Ovis aries: one gene and its partners. The protein of the gene in region 3 purifies or fractionates together with the protein of the main gene of each other region. This does not show direct contact. Links are inferred from orthologs where the notes say so. Each region holds a gene or a part of one and is shown on either strand. Other genes may lie near its edges.

Region 1 (4,088 bases), on a different chromosome or scaffold from region 3:
TTCCTTAAAAGAAAAATTGTGGCCTTTCATATTAAACTATGGCTAGCAATCTTCCTTCAAATTAATCCTTACTTTTCACCCTATTTACATCTAGAGGAAGACTTTAGATATTACCTAATTACTTGCATTAAAAAACAACTTTGAACCCAACCTCTGAAGAGGTCCGACTAATTCATTCCCCTCACCTTGGTGGGATAGACAGAGCTGGAAGGAAAGGCCACCAGGTTGGTGAGATCAGAGTAACGTCGCTCTATGGTCTTCTTGGTAGCAGGACAATAGTGGACACTGCGGACGACTTTGGGACGAACTAGAGAGCCTAGGAATAGAAAGTCACCCAACTAAACAGCAAGAAGGGGATCTGACCCAGGCAAGTCCATGATGACTCCAAATTACGTTCTTCCAACTAGTGGGGCTATCCCAATACTAACTGTTAATTCATTTTTATATTTACACACAGAATAACACCATATCCAGGTAAAACCTTAAAGTACCGCTGATCCCGACCAAGCAGCAGGAGGAATTCAGGGTCAGAATGAGGAGACTCACTGCCAAGAGCCAAGACTCCTCCATTCTCGGCAGATTCACCATTCCGCTGGCACAGGCGGTCACTCAAAGCTCCCCTAGTTATTGTGCAAAACTTGCGTTTCTTCAAGTTTCACCTGGTAATTTCAGCGCTCCACCTTTTTCAAGCCATAAGCTCCCCAAGCTCGGAGAAGGCAATGGCGCCCCACTCCAGTACTCTTGCCTGGAAAATCCCATGGACGGAGGAGCCTGGTAGGCTGCAGTCCATGAGGTCGCTAAGAGTGATTCACTTTTCACTTTCATGCATTGGAGAAGGAAATGGCAATCCACTCCAGTGTTCTTGCCTGGAGAATCCCAGGGACGGGGGAGCCTGGTAGGCTGCCGTCTATGGGGTCGCACAGAGTCGGACACGACTGAAGCGACTTAGCAGCAGCAGCAAGCTCCCCAACCTACTCCACCTCTCCTGCCTTCCATACCCCCAAGTCTACCCCACCTCCATTCCGTGGGTCTCCAACTGTAGCCCACTTACATTTAGTAACAATGCCCTCCACACAGACGACACAGCTCAGGAAGCAGGAGGTAAGGGTCCGAGGAGAGACATGCTTGGAGCCGAAGCTGCCCTCCAAGCCTATGTAGAACTCCTCGTACTGCTTGGCATACGTAGCATCGATGGAGGCCACGAAATCCTTCAAGGCCCGCTGGAAGGCAACCAGCTCCTCAAAGGCATTGCTCAGAAGGCTGCAAAGAATCATCAGGCAGAGACCACAGATTTCAAAAAACTTGACCCACAAAACAGAAGTGGACATTCTTACTTGATCAAAGCTTAGGAGTGAAAAATCTTCTACTTTCTCCTGCCATTCTACAAGGCCCAGTAAAGTACATCAGAGCTGCGGGCCAGTTATAACTCAGTGATGGGGAAATGATACTCAGCGAAGAAGTAAAAAACACAGAAGCAGGGGAGGGTGATGTACTAAGGGCTTCCTGGTCAAATATAGTTCATCCAGGTCCTCCCCTGGGAAGCTTGCTCCAACCTAGGGAAGAGAAGGAGCCATTCTCACTCAGAACTAGGGATGCGCTCTTGGAAACTCACCGGTTAGCCCTCTTCTCGTTCTTCCTACGCAGGTCATTCACGTTGACAATCAACCGGTACTGGTTGTCACTAATCAGCTCCCGAACTTTGCTCTGATAAATTCCCTGGTCTTCCTGCAAAATAACCACCGCATGCTACAGCAGCTCACAAGTTCAAAAACTGGATGTTTTTAAAGAGAGGCAGCTCTCACAGCAAGATAAATATATCAATCTCTGTGGCAGACCTGAGCCCCCATTTCACCCACATTTTCACTCATTAGCTTCCGATTCCAAATGCACCCTAAAAAGCCAGTGTATAAATTATAACGACTTCTTCATTATTCCTATTATCACCAACAGCTCTTCTGTGCCCACGCATCACTTCTTAACTTTTAACTGGGAATTAAAATGAGCTTCTAAGAAGTCTAAAAAGACAAGTAAAAACCTTGTCAAAATGTAAATTAAAGGGACTTTTAATATATCAAAGTAACTTTCCGTTGCAGAATCTTGTATTTAATTAAAATATTTTATTTCCCTATCATCTGCATAACAGAAAAGGAGTTCTCATATAAGGGACCTAAGAGTTGGGAGCCTTAGTTACATTTACAAACACAGCACTATCAATCCAAGATGCTTTACCAATATTCCATGGCTGTCAATCCAAAATTGCCTATAAAATCCCCTTTATTTGCGTACCAACCCTCTTTCTCCGCTTCCCATCAGGTATGGAAAAAGAATGCGGCAAAATTAGAACGTCCTTTTCTCCGGGTAGGAAGTCAGTCACTAAAGCCTGAAGGCCTATAACGCGGCGGGTCACTATCGTTTTCCCGCGGTCCTTCCCCCACTCTCCCCCCAGATTAAGAGAGTAGGGAACGATCTCCAAAAGGTCAACGTGGGCTTTACACTTGGTTTGCACTTGGAGAAAACCTGTTGACTTTCGCGAGACCTAGCCACCATTTGTACTCGAGAGAAAAATTACAGAATCGCTCTTAACCACTGACTCCGCCGCCAGGAAAGCTACCAGATCGAGGCGGAAGGTCCCAAGCAGCAGCCCCTCCGCCGCAGCCTGGAGTCCGGCGGTCTCCCTTGGCCCCTAGTGTCTCCGCGGCCTTTCTCGGCTCCTGCGCGGCCCCTGGGCCTCCGAGCACCCTAATTTCGTGACTCGGCGCCTCTCTCACCTCATCGTCCAGGAAGTCCAGGTAGTCTCTCTGCGCCTCTCGCAGCTCCACATCGTCCAGCACCACCGTCCCCGCCATGCTCGCGGACCGGGAATTTCTGCGCAGAGGGCGATTGGCTGGCAAGCCCCGGCGCGAAAACTTCCCAACTTTTCCCGCCAAGAAAAGTAACCTCAAGCAAGGGGGCGGGGTAGCGTGGAGCGTATGTACATTCCGATTGGCTGGTTTTCTTACGCTACAACAGCGAGCATCCAATCGAGAGCTGCTTCTTTTCCGGGTTTTCCGCGCCGCGTCTCGCGGTGGCGGGAAATGTTCCATCCGGCGCCCTCCCCTCTCCGCCTTTACTGACAGGAAAGCGGACCAATTGGACGAGAGGATGCTCGCGAAACCTGGTCATTGGAGAGCCCGCGAGACCCAGGAGCTGCATTCTGGGAGTTGTAGTGGTCCCCCTTTCCCCTGTAATTTTACAAACGTTGGTGGTTTTTTATCTCAAGTTGTGGTTACCTGCCCCGCTAAAGAGTGAAGAAACTCAGCTCCGCTATTGGACTGAAAGTAGCTTAGACGTCGGAAAGCAGAGGTTTAGAACGCAGGGCGATAAAAACATAAAGGCCAGTCGTTTAAAAAATATATTCAAATCAGTTGTGTATGGATATGTTTTGCAGTCAACCAGTCTCTAGTGGTATGCCGGGGGAGAAGTGAATTTCGAGAATCAGAGGGGGAAATAGACTCATAACATCTTTGGAGAGGTTCTGTAGTTCAGTGACTCGTTTGCTAACTGAATACTGGGGCCTGAAGTACCTCATAAAAATACCAAGCCGGAGAGGAGGGAAAAATGAGAGAAAAATTGTCGGGATATTACCCACTCTCACCCCCACTTCCCGCTGCCGGCCGAGATGGCCTTATATATGTTACACGAAATTGTGGACGTAATTACTACACCATCCTACTTGCAAGCTGGTAAGTTAAAGGCTTTCTCCCCTTATTAGCAAGTCACAGTTCAGTTCAGTCGCGTCCGACTCTTTGCGACCCCATGAATCGCAGCACACCAGGCCTCCCTGTCCATCACCAACCCCCGGAGTTCACTCAGACTCACGTCCATCAAGCCAGTGATGCCATCCAGCCATCTCATCCTCTGTCGTCCCATTCTCCTCCTGCCCTCAATCCCTCCCAGCATCAGTCTTCCAGTGAGTCAACTCTTCGCATGAGGTGGCCAAAGTACTGGAGTTTCAGCTTCAGCATCATTCCCTCCAAAGAAATCCCAGGGCTGATCTCCAGAATAGACTGGTTGGATGTCCTTGCAGTTCAAGGGACTCTCAAGAGTCT
Region 2 (3,646 bases), on a different chromosome or scaffold from region 3:
CCAAATCACTTTGCTGTACACCTGGAACTAACACAGTATCAAGTATACTTTAAGGAAAAAAAAAAAAGAATTAGCATTAGTAGCATGTCCTTTAGAAAAATGGAGGTAAATGGGAGATCAGTTGCGACTGAACAGAAAACTGGGGCATGTGGATGAGTGGAACAGAGGCTGCTACAGTCTTGCACAGCTGTTTAAATTTTTTTCATTAGCTACGATGTTAAGCTTAATATGTCAGTATATGGATGGACACTAGACTTTAGGTGAGGAGGAAATAGTATATACAGAAGTCTAATTACACATGAAGCTTATATCATGTTATATATCAAAGTCGGTAAATAAAGCTAAGGGAATTCCCTGGCCGTCCAAATAGTTAGGACTCCATGCTTTCACTGCTAAGGGTCCAGGTTCAATCCCTGGTCAGTGAACTAAGATCCTATAAGCTGCAAGGCACGGCTAATAAAGAAAAAAATTAAATTAAAAAAAGTCAATATACAATATTTCCAAAATTTTGGGGAATTGAAAGTTGGCATCAATTTATTTCTATGAGATGCTCAATTTTGTGTGTCAGAACTATTTAAATATTTAAATGTAACCTTGTGACTGTTTACGCAGATGAACATTTGATATGCACAACCATAAAGTATTTATAAGAATAAAAGAAAGGTCAAAAACAAAACTATAAATAACTTCTAATTACATCATTTAGATAAAATGTAAAATACTTTTAGTCTTCTGGAGAAGTAAAAAATTAACACATGATTTTATCACTTCTTAAATTGGTTCAACTCTCTTTTCCTGTTACATGTGGGATGTCATTTTTCAGAGAACAGTTTTTTTTTGCATATTCTTCACAACAAACCCAGGACAGCCTGGCTTGGTAGTCCTATTACATAGTTTGAAGTTGGTAAACCTTTGGGCCTTTTTTCAAGAGATAACCTTGGTCATTTAGTGATCCAATAAAATTTTCAAAATCAGCAACCTAGTAGAAAATAATAAAAGAGCCTGTTAAATATATGCAAAAAATGTGATTTTTAAAATTAATCTCTCAAACAGTAATATACAATTGTCAAGTTTTTTGGGCAAATAAAATCATTTGTACTTCTTACAGAGAAAGCTGCTTACATACAAAACTTGGATTCTATAACACCTAGCTAATCAAAAATAACTCCAGTATGCATAGAATCTTTTATATTTGTTTTAGCTTAGCTTCAAAATAAAAATTAGACCAACTTTTGAAATTGAATGAGCAATTTTCCATACAAACTGTTTTACATGTTTAAAGTGCTATTATGAATCCTGGAAAGAAAAAATAAAAACCTATAAAGTGCTATTATACCCATTTTCACTAAGACTTTTAAGTAGTTAGATCAAGTGGAATCATGTCCATGTAACAAATGAGAAAACTGAGGTTCAATGATGTGTAACATGACTTGCCCACACAGACTGTCAGAATAACATGGAAACTTGCTATGTTTCTCCTATCAAGATGTTGAAAACTCTTTTGAAAAGAAGTTTGAATTTTAGATAAAAACTGTTTTTTTAAAGCTCTGAGCAACTAATTTTATATCTTAAATAAAACAAGCGTGTGTTTTAAATACTCCAAAACAGCCTATTCCATAACTTTAGTCTAAATCTTTTGACGTTTAAAAGTTCTTCTATACTAATAAAGCCCTCCTGAAATTATTATAAAAAGATTTACTAATTATTTATTTTATCATACCTGAATGTTTAACTCTTTGGCAATCTGTTGAAGTTGATGAAACTGAAATAAATTATTGTAAGTTCTTTCGGCAATATTGTTGAGAGCAGAAATAAATCTTTTTGCTGCTGACCTGTTGCTCATTCCAGAACCATGCTGGGATCGTTCAAAATCTAGGTTCCCAAATTCATCAGAGTAAGTTCCTAACATGCTTATAGAAGGAAAGAAAAACAGTTACCCAGTGTGTTTCAGCTACAGAAATTTTTGTCCAAGTTATAAAAAGAAAAATGTGGAAATAGCCCTGAGGCTCAGGTAACAAAGATTTAAACATGTATTTACTGAGCGGTGATTGTGAATTAACCATGTATGGACTGGTCGGGGATAACAATATTTTGGACATAGCTACCACTTTTTAAGAAACTCCCTATATTTAGAAAGAGAAATACAAATGAATTTTTGCATAAAAATACAAAGTTGACAGGCTACAATATAAATACTTGGAACATTCTCTTTGATTCATGAAAAAAAAAAAAAAACTAAACATACTAAATTTAGGCTTTCCTTGGTAAAGATGTCTTCTCAGCTCCTAGAGCAGCATCTGGCAAATAAAATGTGTTAGAAATACTCTGGGGATGAAGTAGAAAGGTTCTGCTGAGTTGCAGTAATGATGGTTAGATATTAAAGGATACACCTACTTCTCCAGCTCTTGCTGCTTTCTTCTTATTTTCATAATATAATCAGGGAAAGAAATACATAATTCACAGTGAATTTTAGCCAGAAGTCTGAAAGTACCAGTTAGAGCTTAGTCATCCTCTCTAGTCCAGCCCTGTTGCTGATTGCCTGCCCTTAATTCTCGGCTTATATATAATCTCACAGCCAGGCTCAGAGGCAAAGATGGTATTTAATGAGTTACTTAATCAAATATAAATTGGTCACTAGACAGTAGGCTTCCCATGGTAGAACAAAACAGGTGCAATTCCTGCCCTTAAGGAGCTTATAGTTATGAATTTAAAGGGTTATTAAAAACACAGCTTCATTTTGTTCCCTGAATAGGTAAGAGCCCACATGAAAGAGAATAAGCTGTACATACAGGAATGAGTCATCCAAATAAGACTGTAGTAACTAATAAAACAATTAGATGAATATGTGTATTCCCTAGAAATATAGCATAATTTTTTTTAATAATGAACTACTTTCCTGTGTTATTTGTTGTTTAATCACTAAGTTGTGTCACACTCTTTTGCAAGCGCATGGACTGCAGCCCGCCAGGGGAGCCTCGTGTACAGGCTCCTCTGTACATGAGATTTCCCAGGAAAGAATACTGGAGTTGGCATTTCCTTCTCCAAGAGATCTTCCTTTCATTGGCAGGTGGATTCTTGACCACTGAGCCACCAGGGAAGACCATACCATATAATTTACCATATTATTTCTCATAGAACAGTCGTCACAAATGCTTTAGGCGACTATGTCAATTATAATAGCTAGTATACCTTAATTGTATTTATTTACCAAGCACTGGTTTGCACTCCTTGCATCAAACCAGTCAATCCTAAAGGAAATCAACCCTGAATATTCATTGGAAGGACTGATGCTGAAGCTAAAGCTCCAATACTTTGGCCACCTGATGAGAAGAGCCAACTCACTGGAAAAGACCCTGATACTGGGAAAGACTGAAGGCAGGAGGAGAAAGTGACAACAGAGAGCAAGATAGTTGGATGGTATCACTGACTCAGTGGACACTGAGTTTGAACAAGCTCAGGGAGAAGGTGAAGGAGAGGGAACCCTGGTGTGCTGCAGTCCATAGGGTCACACAGTCGGACATGACTGAGCAAATGACCTGAACTGAACCATGTGTCCGATTTAGCCCTTCCAGCAATCCTATTCAGTTCAGTCACTCAGTCATGTCCGACTCTTTGGGACCCCATGAATCGCAGCATGCCAGGCCTC
Region 3 (4,276 bases):
GAAAATCTCTCATGGAGCATTTTCGATGTACAGGTATATTCTAGACAAATAACAGATACACATCCTAAAATCCCCAGGGTTAAAACATAGCCAAGGAACCCAGGAAACGAGTGATTTCAACAACATGCTTTACAAGTTAATTTTCAGGCTTCACAGGATCCTATAATTACATGCAGCAGAAGTTACCCAACTCAGGTTCCCAAAGAAGAGTAAGATTTAGCCAGGAAAACAGAAGTGGGAGAGGAAGTCTTGACCAGGCAAAGGAAACAGCCTATGCAGAAAGCCTAGTGGCGTGGTTTAAGATCAGAGAACTGGAAGAAGGTTCAGTGTGAGGGGGAATACCGTGATGAGGTCTGAGAGCTGGGCAATGTGCCTGCCCAGTTGTGTCTGACTCTTTGTGACCCTATGGACTGCAGACTGCCAGCCTTCTCAGTCCATGGGATTTCGCCAGGAAGAACACTGGAGTGGGGTTGCCATTTCCTTCTCCAAGGGATCTTCCTGACCCAAGGATCAAACCTTCATCTCCAGGGTCGCCTGCATCACAGGTGAATTCTTTACCACTGAGACACCAGAGCTGGGCAGGGGTGGGGCCAAAAGGCCTCATAAACCACAAAAGATGAGTATACTTTTCTCTCTGGGCGAAAATGGATTTACAACAATTTCCTATTAGACCAAAAAGAGTCTACAAGTTTAACACCTCACTTCTCACACAAACATACCTGTAATGTTGTTGTTATAAAGCTATCCAATCCCATATATTCACAGTGATAGGAAAATATAGCAAGAATATACATTATATATCAAAGCAGCTTCTACAAAAACATCATGACTGTAAGACAGGATTAGTTTCTTCTCTGCAAGACACAATCTGTATGAGAATAAGACATTCTAGAGGAAAAACACATCAACAAGGTCCAGGTCATCAACAAAACACAAACTTCAGAAAATACTGTAGAGCCAGCATTTTATATCCAAATTACACCTACTATACTATAATGAGTTGTTTGCCTCTTAGGGTCCTACAAGCAGGAGACAAAATCTGACACAAATACATTCAAATATATACTAAATATAAAATCATCTCATTTATCCAGCCAGACTAGGACATGGATATTTCTCTTAAATTTTCTAAACATCAATTAAGCACCAAAACTTACTTACTTTTGAATGATTTTCCCTAAAAAGTGTCTCTGTGTCTGCACCCTCTTAAACCTACTGTGCAATTTAATCTTCACTCCACATTTAAAGGCCATTATTTTGGAAAACAATTATGGGTTCTAGTATTCATTATGAGCATCAATTACCAGGATTTAGTAGAGAGACATATGCCCCTTTTTGAAAAGGGCCCTGGATGGATATACAGGGATTAAAAAAAATTTTTTTAAACACTATGTACATAGTTTGAAATTTCTCCTTTAATAGGTTGTCAGTGTTCACTGGCTACAATTTGGATGCCTACCCAGGGCTTTTCCTAATATGCTGCCTCTAGTTTCAGCCTGGGAAACCAGACAACTGAACAAGTTCAAATCACAAGGAAAACGAATAGAGTTGCTCAGTGAGCCTTTCCTGCAAGAAATACATTTTCTGCCATCCGTTTTGGCTGCTGCGGACTATTTAGCTTCTTAATAAGCGTTCACGCTAATATTCCACAAGGTCTTAAGTGAGGAAGGCCACTTTCCAAGTTCAAGTTACCTCCTGACAAGTCAGGTGTTCTGATCTTACACACTGATTCCCGGTTGGGTTTGCCTCCACCACTCCTGAGTGCAAAAGACATGCGGGGTGGGGCCAAAATGCCTAGTGAACGGCAACCAGACCTAAATTTTTCTTTGTGTACCCTACCCGAAAAGTGTCATTAACCATGACTGCAAGTGAAATTTCCTGAGCTTGCCTGCCACATGCTAAGCTCTTTCTATGCAGGAACGCATCTGAGTTCGTTCACCATTTCTTGCTAGCTCTGGCCCAAGAGGAGATGGGGAGACGAGACATGTTTTAAAGGTGTCCTAACGGAAAAAAATCTAAGTTATCACACGAAATCTTATCTCGAAAAAGGAGGATGTGTGTAACCCAGGAGTTACAGCCAACTTCTGCAGCGAGCGAGCAAGCACGCGAGCACTCCCCCCACACACCGGAAGTTTTGAAATGTCCTGCGGGCTTCCCATAGGCAAAGTGCTTTTCCCTTCAGCACATCTCTGCGGGTCCTCCCGAAAGGTTCGAGGACCCCCCAACCCCAGAGTCCGGCCGCACGCGGGGCTCAGGGTCCGCCCGCGGGGCCACGAAGGGGGAAGCGAGGCCGTCAATCACGGCCGGCAGCCGGCTCCTGGCGCCGTAACCTTGGTGGCTCGGGAGTCGCGAATCGGGCAGGTGGGAGGCACCTGCGGCCCGGGCCCGGGCAGCCGCGGCCCGGACTCTCCGGGCGGGAGGGGGTTGCCGAGCGCCGGCGGCGCAGGCCCGGCTGACCGTCTCGGCCGCTCGAGCCCTCGAGGCGGCCCCGCCTGGGCGCCGCGCGGCAGGGTCCGGGCCCCGGGGGCTCGGTGAACTCGGCGGCCCGCCCGGACCCCGCCCGCCCCCCGGGCGCCGCCACTCACCGAAGAAGCCCTGCACGATGCCCAGCGGGTGGCTGAGCCAATCCTCCCCACAGGGCATCTCGCCGACTGGCCGGAGCCGGCGCGGCCCGGGCGTCCCGCGCGCCTCTGCTCCTCGTCGGGGGCTCGGCCGCTCCTCGCCCGCGCCCTCCCACGCAGGGAAAGCCTCGCGGCGCGGGCCGCCTGGCCTCCCCGCGCCTCAGGGAACGGCGGCGGAGGCGGCGGCTGTGAGGCGCTGCCGGCCACGGGCAGGCGGCGCGTGCGGGCCCCCAGCCTCCACTTCGCACAATGGCGGGAAATAGGCGCCGCCGCCGCCGACCGCGCTGCCGGCGACCTGGGTGGAGCTCGTGCGGGGAGGGGCGGCGGGAGCGCGCAGCGCGGCCCCGCGGCGGGGAGGCGGGGCGGCCTTGCTCCGGGGAGAGGGGGTGGGGCTCGGCGGGGCGGGGCCGCGGCGGCAGGGCGGTCGCCATCTTGGAGACGGGCGAGGGGAAGGGCAGGGGTGGCCTCGCGAGCATGCCGCGTGGTTACTTGAGGGCTGCATATTGCTCGGTGTCCCTCTGCAGACTCCAAAGGAGAAACTCCCGATGTCTGGTTTATCTGTTTATAGTGGCGAGGCCTTGCGCAGGTCGGAGACCGCAACAGTCCAAGAGCACAAGCGCAAAGAGACCTCAAAGTTATCTCTGGGCAAAATTAGAAGGTAACGTTGCCTCTGGTGTCTGCCCACCTCGTCCCGCCTCTTAGTGGTTTTTTTTTTTTTTTTTTTTTGGCCAATGGCAACTCTTTTGTTTGGTTCCGTGCTAGAAACCCCCTGTAATGACTTTCCTCCACTGGATCAAGTCTTCCCTCGACTGGATCAAGACAGTGGTATCTGTACACAGAAAAGATCTGGTTAATAGTAACCTTTGAATGAGGAAATTTGGAAAATATCCAAGTTCTATAATGAAACAGCCCCTAGATCTGAAATATATCGGAAAAAACCCTCCCTCTCATAACCTGAAGTACAGCGTATTAACAGAAGGATGATCCGAATGCGATCATCTCCACTCCCTAAAAAGTGAGGAGCTGGAGAACTGAACTCGGATCTCAAGCCCTCCTTAGGGCAAAAGGGTTTATTTTGTATCTGTCACTGTGAACTAATTACATTCCTCTGAATCTGGTGGGCAAGGCTGGTTGAATACCCGGATGTGGAAACTGAAGCTATGGAGACCTGATCACGCAGAGTCGTCTGTACTATTTCGTACCATTTTACATAAGAAACTCTGGCATTCAGATATCTGTTCCTGGAACCAATTCCCTGCAATTGATACCAAGGGATGACTGTGATTGGCATATTATACTATACATCTGGCTCTTGTGAGTTTGGGTGAGCTGAGAAAACGGTTTCAAATCGTTGGCATTACTACTTTCATTCATTCATTTAGCTTAGAAGGGCTCGAGATTCCTGGTATTGAATAGAGAAATCTCCTATTTAGCTTTGTGACATACAATCTTTTAAATTATAATAATTTCAATTTGCTGTATATGAAATTGCAGCTGGACACCAATTCAGCAGTGGCTAAGAACACTTCAGCTTTTGGTTTCTCCCTCTGTAGTCAGTGATTTGTAGACAATTGTTCAGATTTAACTTTAAGAGACACTGTGATCCTACTGAAATAATGTGAATAATTTCACCCAAGATGTTTTGACACTACTAA

What was found.
Region 1: the proteins of MCMBP (region 3) and MCM3 purify together in Homo sapiens (affinity purification with mass spectrometry; 10 studies listed by BioGRID and IntAct, counting the BioPlex papers as one, with this or other methods). This does not show direct contact. The link is inferred for Ovis aries from reciprocal best matches to the Homo sapiens genes MCMBP and MCM3.
Region 2: the proteins of MCMBP (region 3) and MCM8 purify together in Homo sapiens (co-immunoprecipitation; 3 studies listed by BioGRID and IntAct, with this or other methods). This does not show direct contact. The link is inferred for Ovis aries from reciprocal best matches to the Homo sapiens genes MCMBP and MCM8.

Annotation. Positions count from the first base shown.
Region 1 is NC_056073.1:24,373,809-24,377,896, forward strand, and holds the start of MCM3 (DNA replication licensing factor MCM3), read right to left. Parts: upstream 2,945-4,088; 5' UTR 2,847-2,944; coding exon 2,769-2,846; intron 1,726-2,768; coding exon 1,613-1,725; intron 1,261-1,612; coding exon 1,052-1,260; intron 317-1,051; coding exon 186-316; intron 1-185. UniProt on the Homo sapiens protein: Acts as a component of the MCM2-7 complex (MCM complex) which is the replicative helicase essential for 'once per cell cycle' DNA replication initiation and elongation in eukaryotic cells.
Region 2 is NC_056066.1:47,865,358-47,869,003, reverse strand, and holds part of MCM8 (DNA helicase MCM8), read right to left. Parts: intron 1,911-3,646; coding exon 1,721-1,910; intron 980-1,720; coding exon 887-979; 3' UTR 1-886. UniProt on the Homo sapiens protein: Component of the MCM8-MCM9 complex, a complex involved in the repair of double-stranded DNA breaks (DBSs) and DNA interstrand cross-links (ICLs) by homologous recombination (HR).
Region 3 is NC_056075.1:39,499,724-39,503,999, forward strand, and holds the start of MCMBP (mini-chromosome maintenance complex-binding protein), read right to left. Parts: upstream 2,923-4,276; 5' UTR 2,644-2,922; coding exon 2,586-2,643; intron 1-2,585. Other genes in the region: SEC23IP (SEC23-interacting protein), read left to right, coding at 3,096-3,279. UniProt on the Homo sapiens protein: Associated component of the MCM complex that acts as a regulator of DNA replication.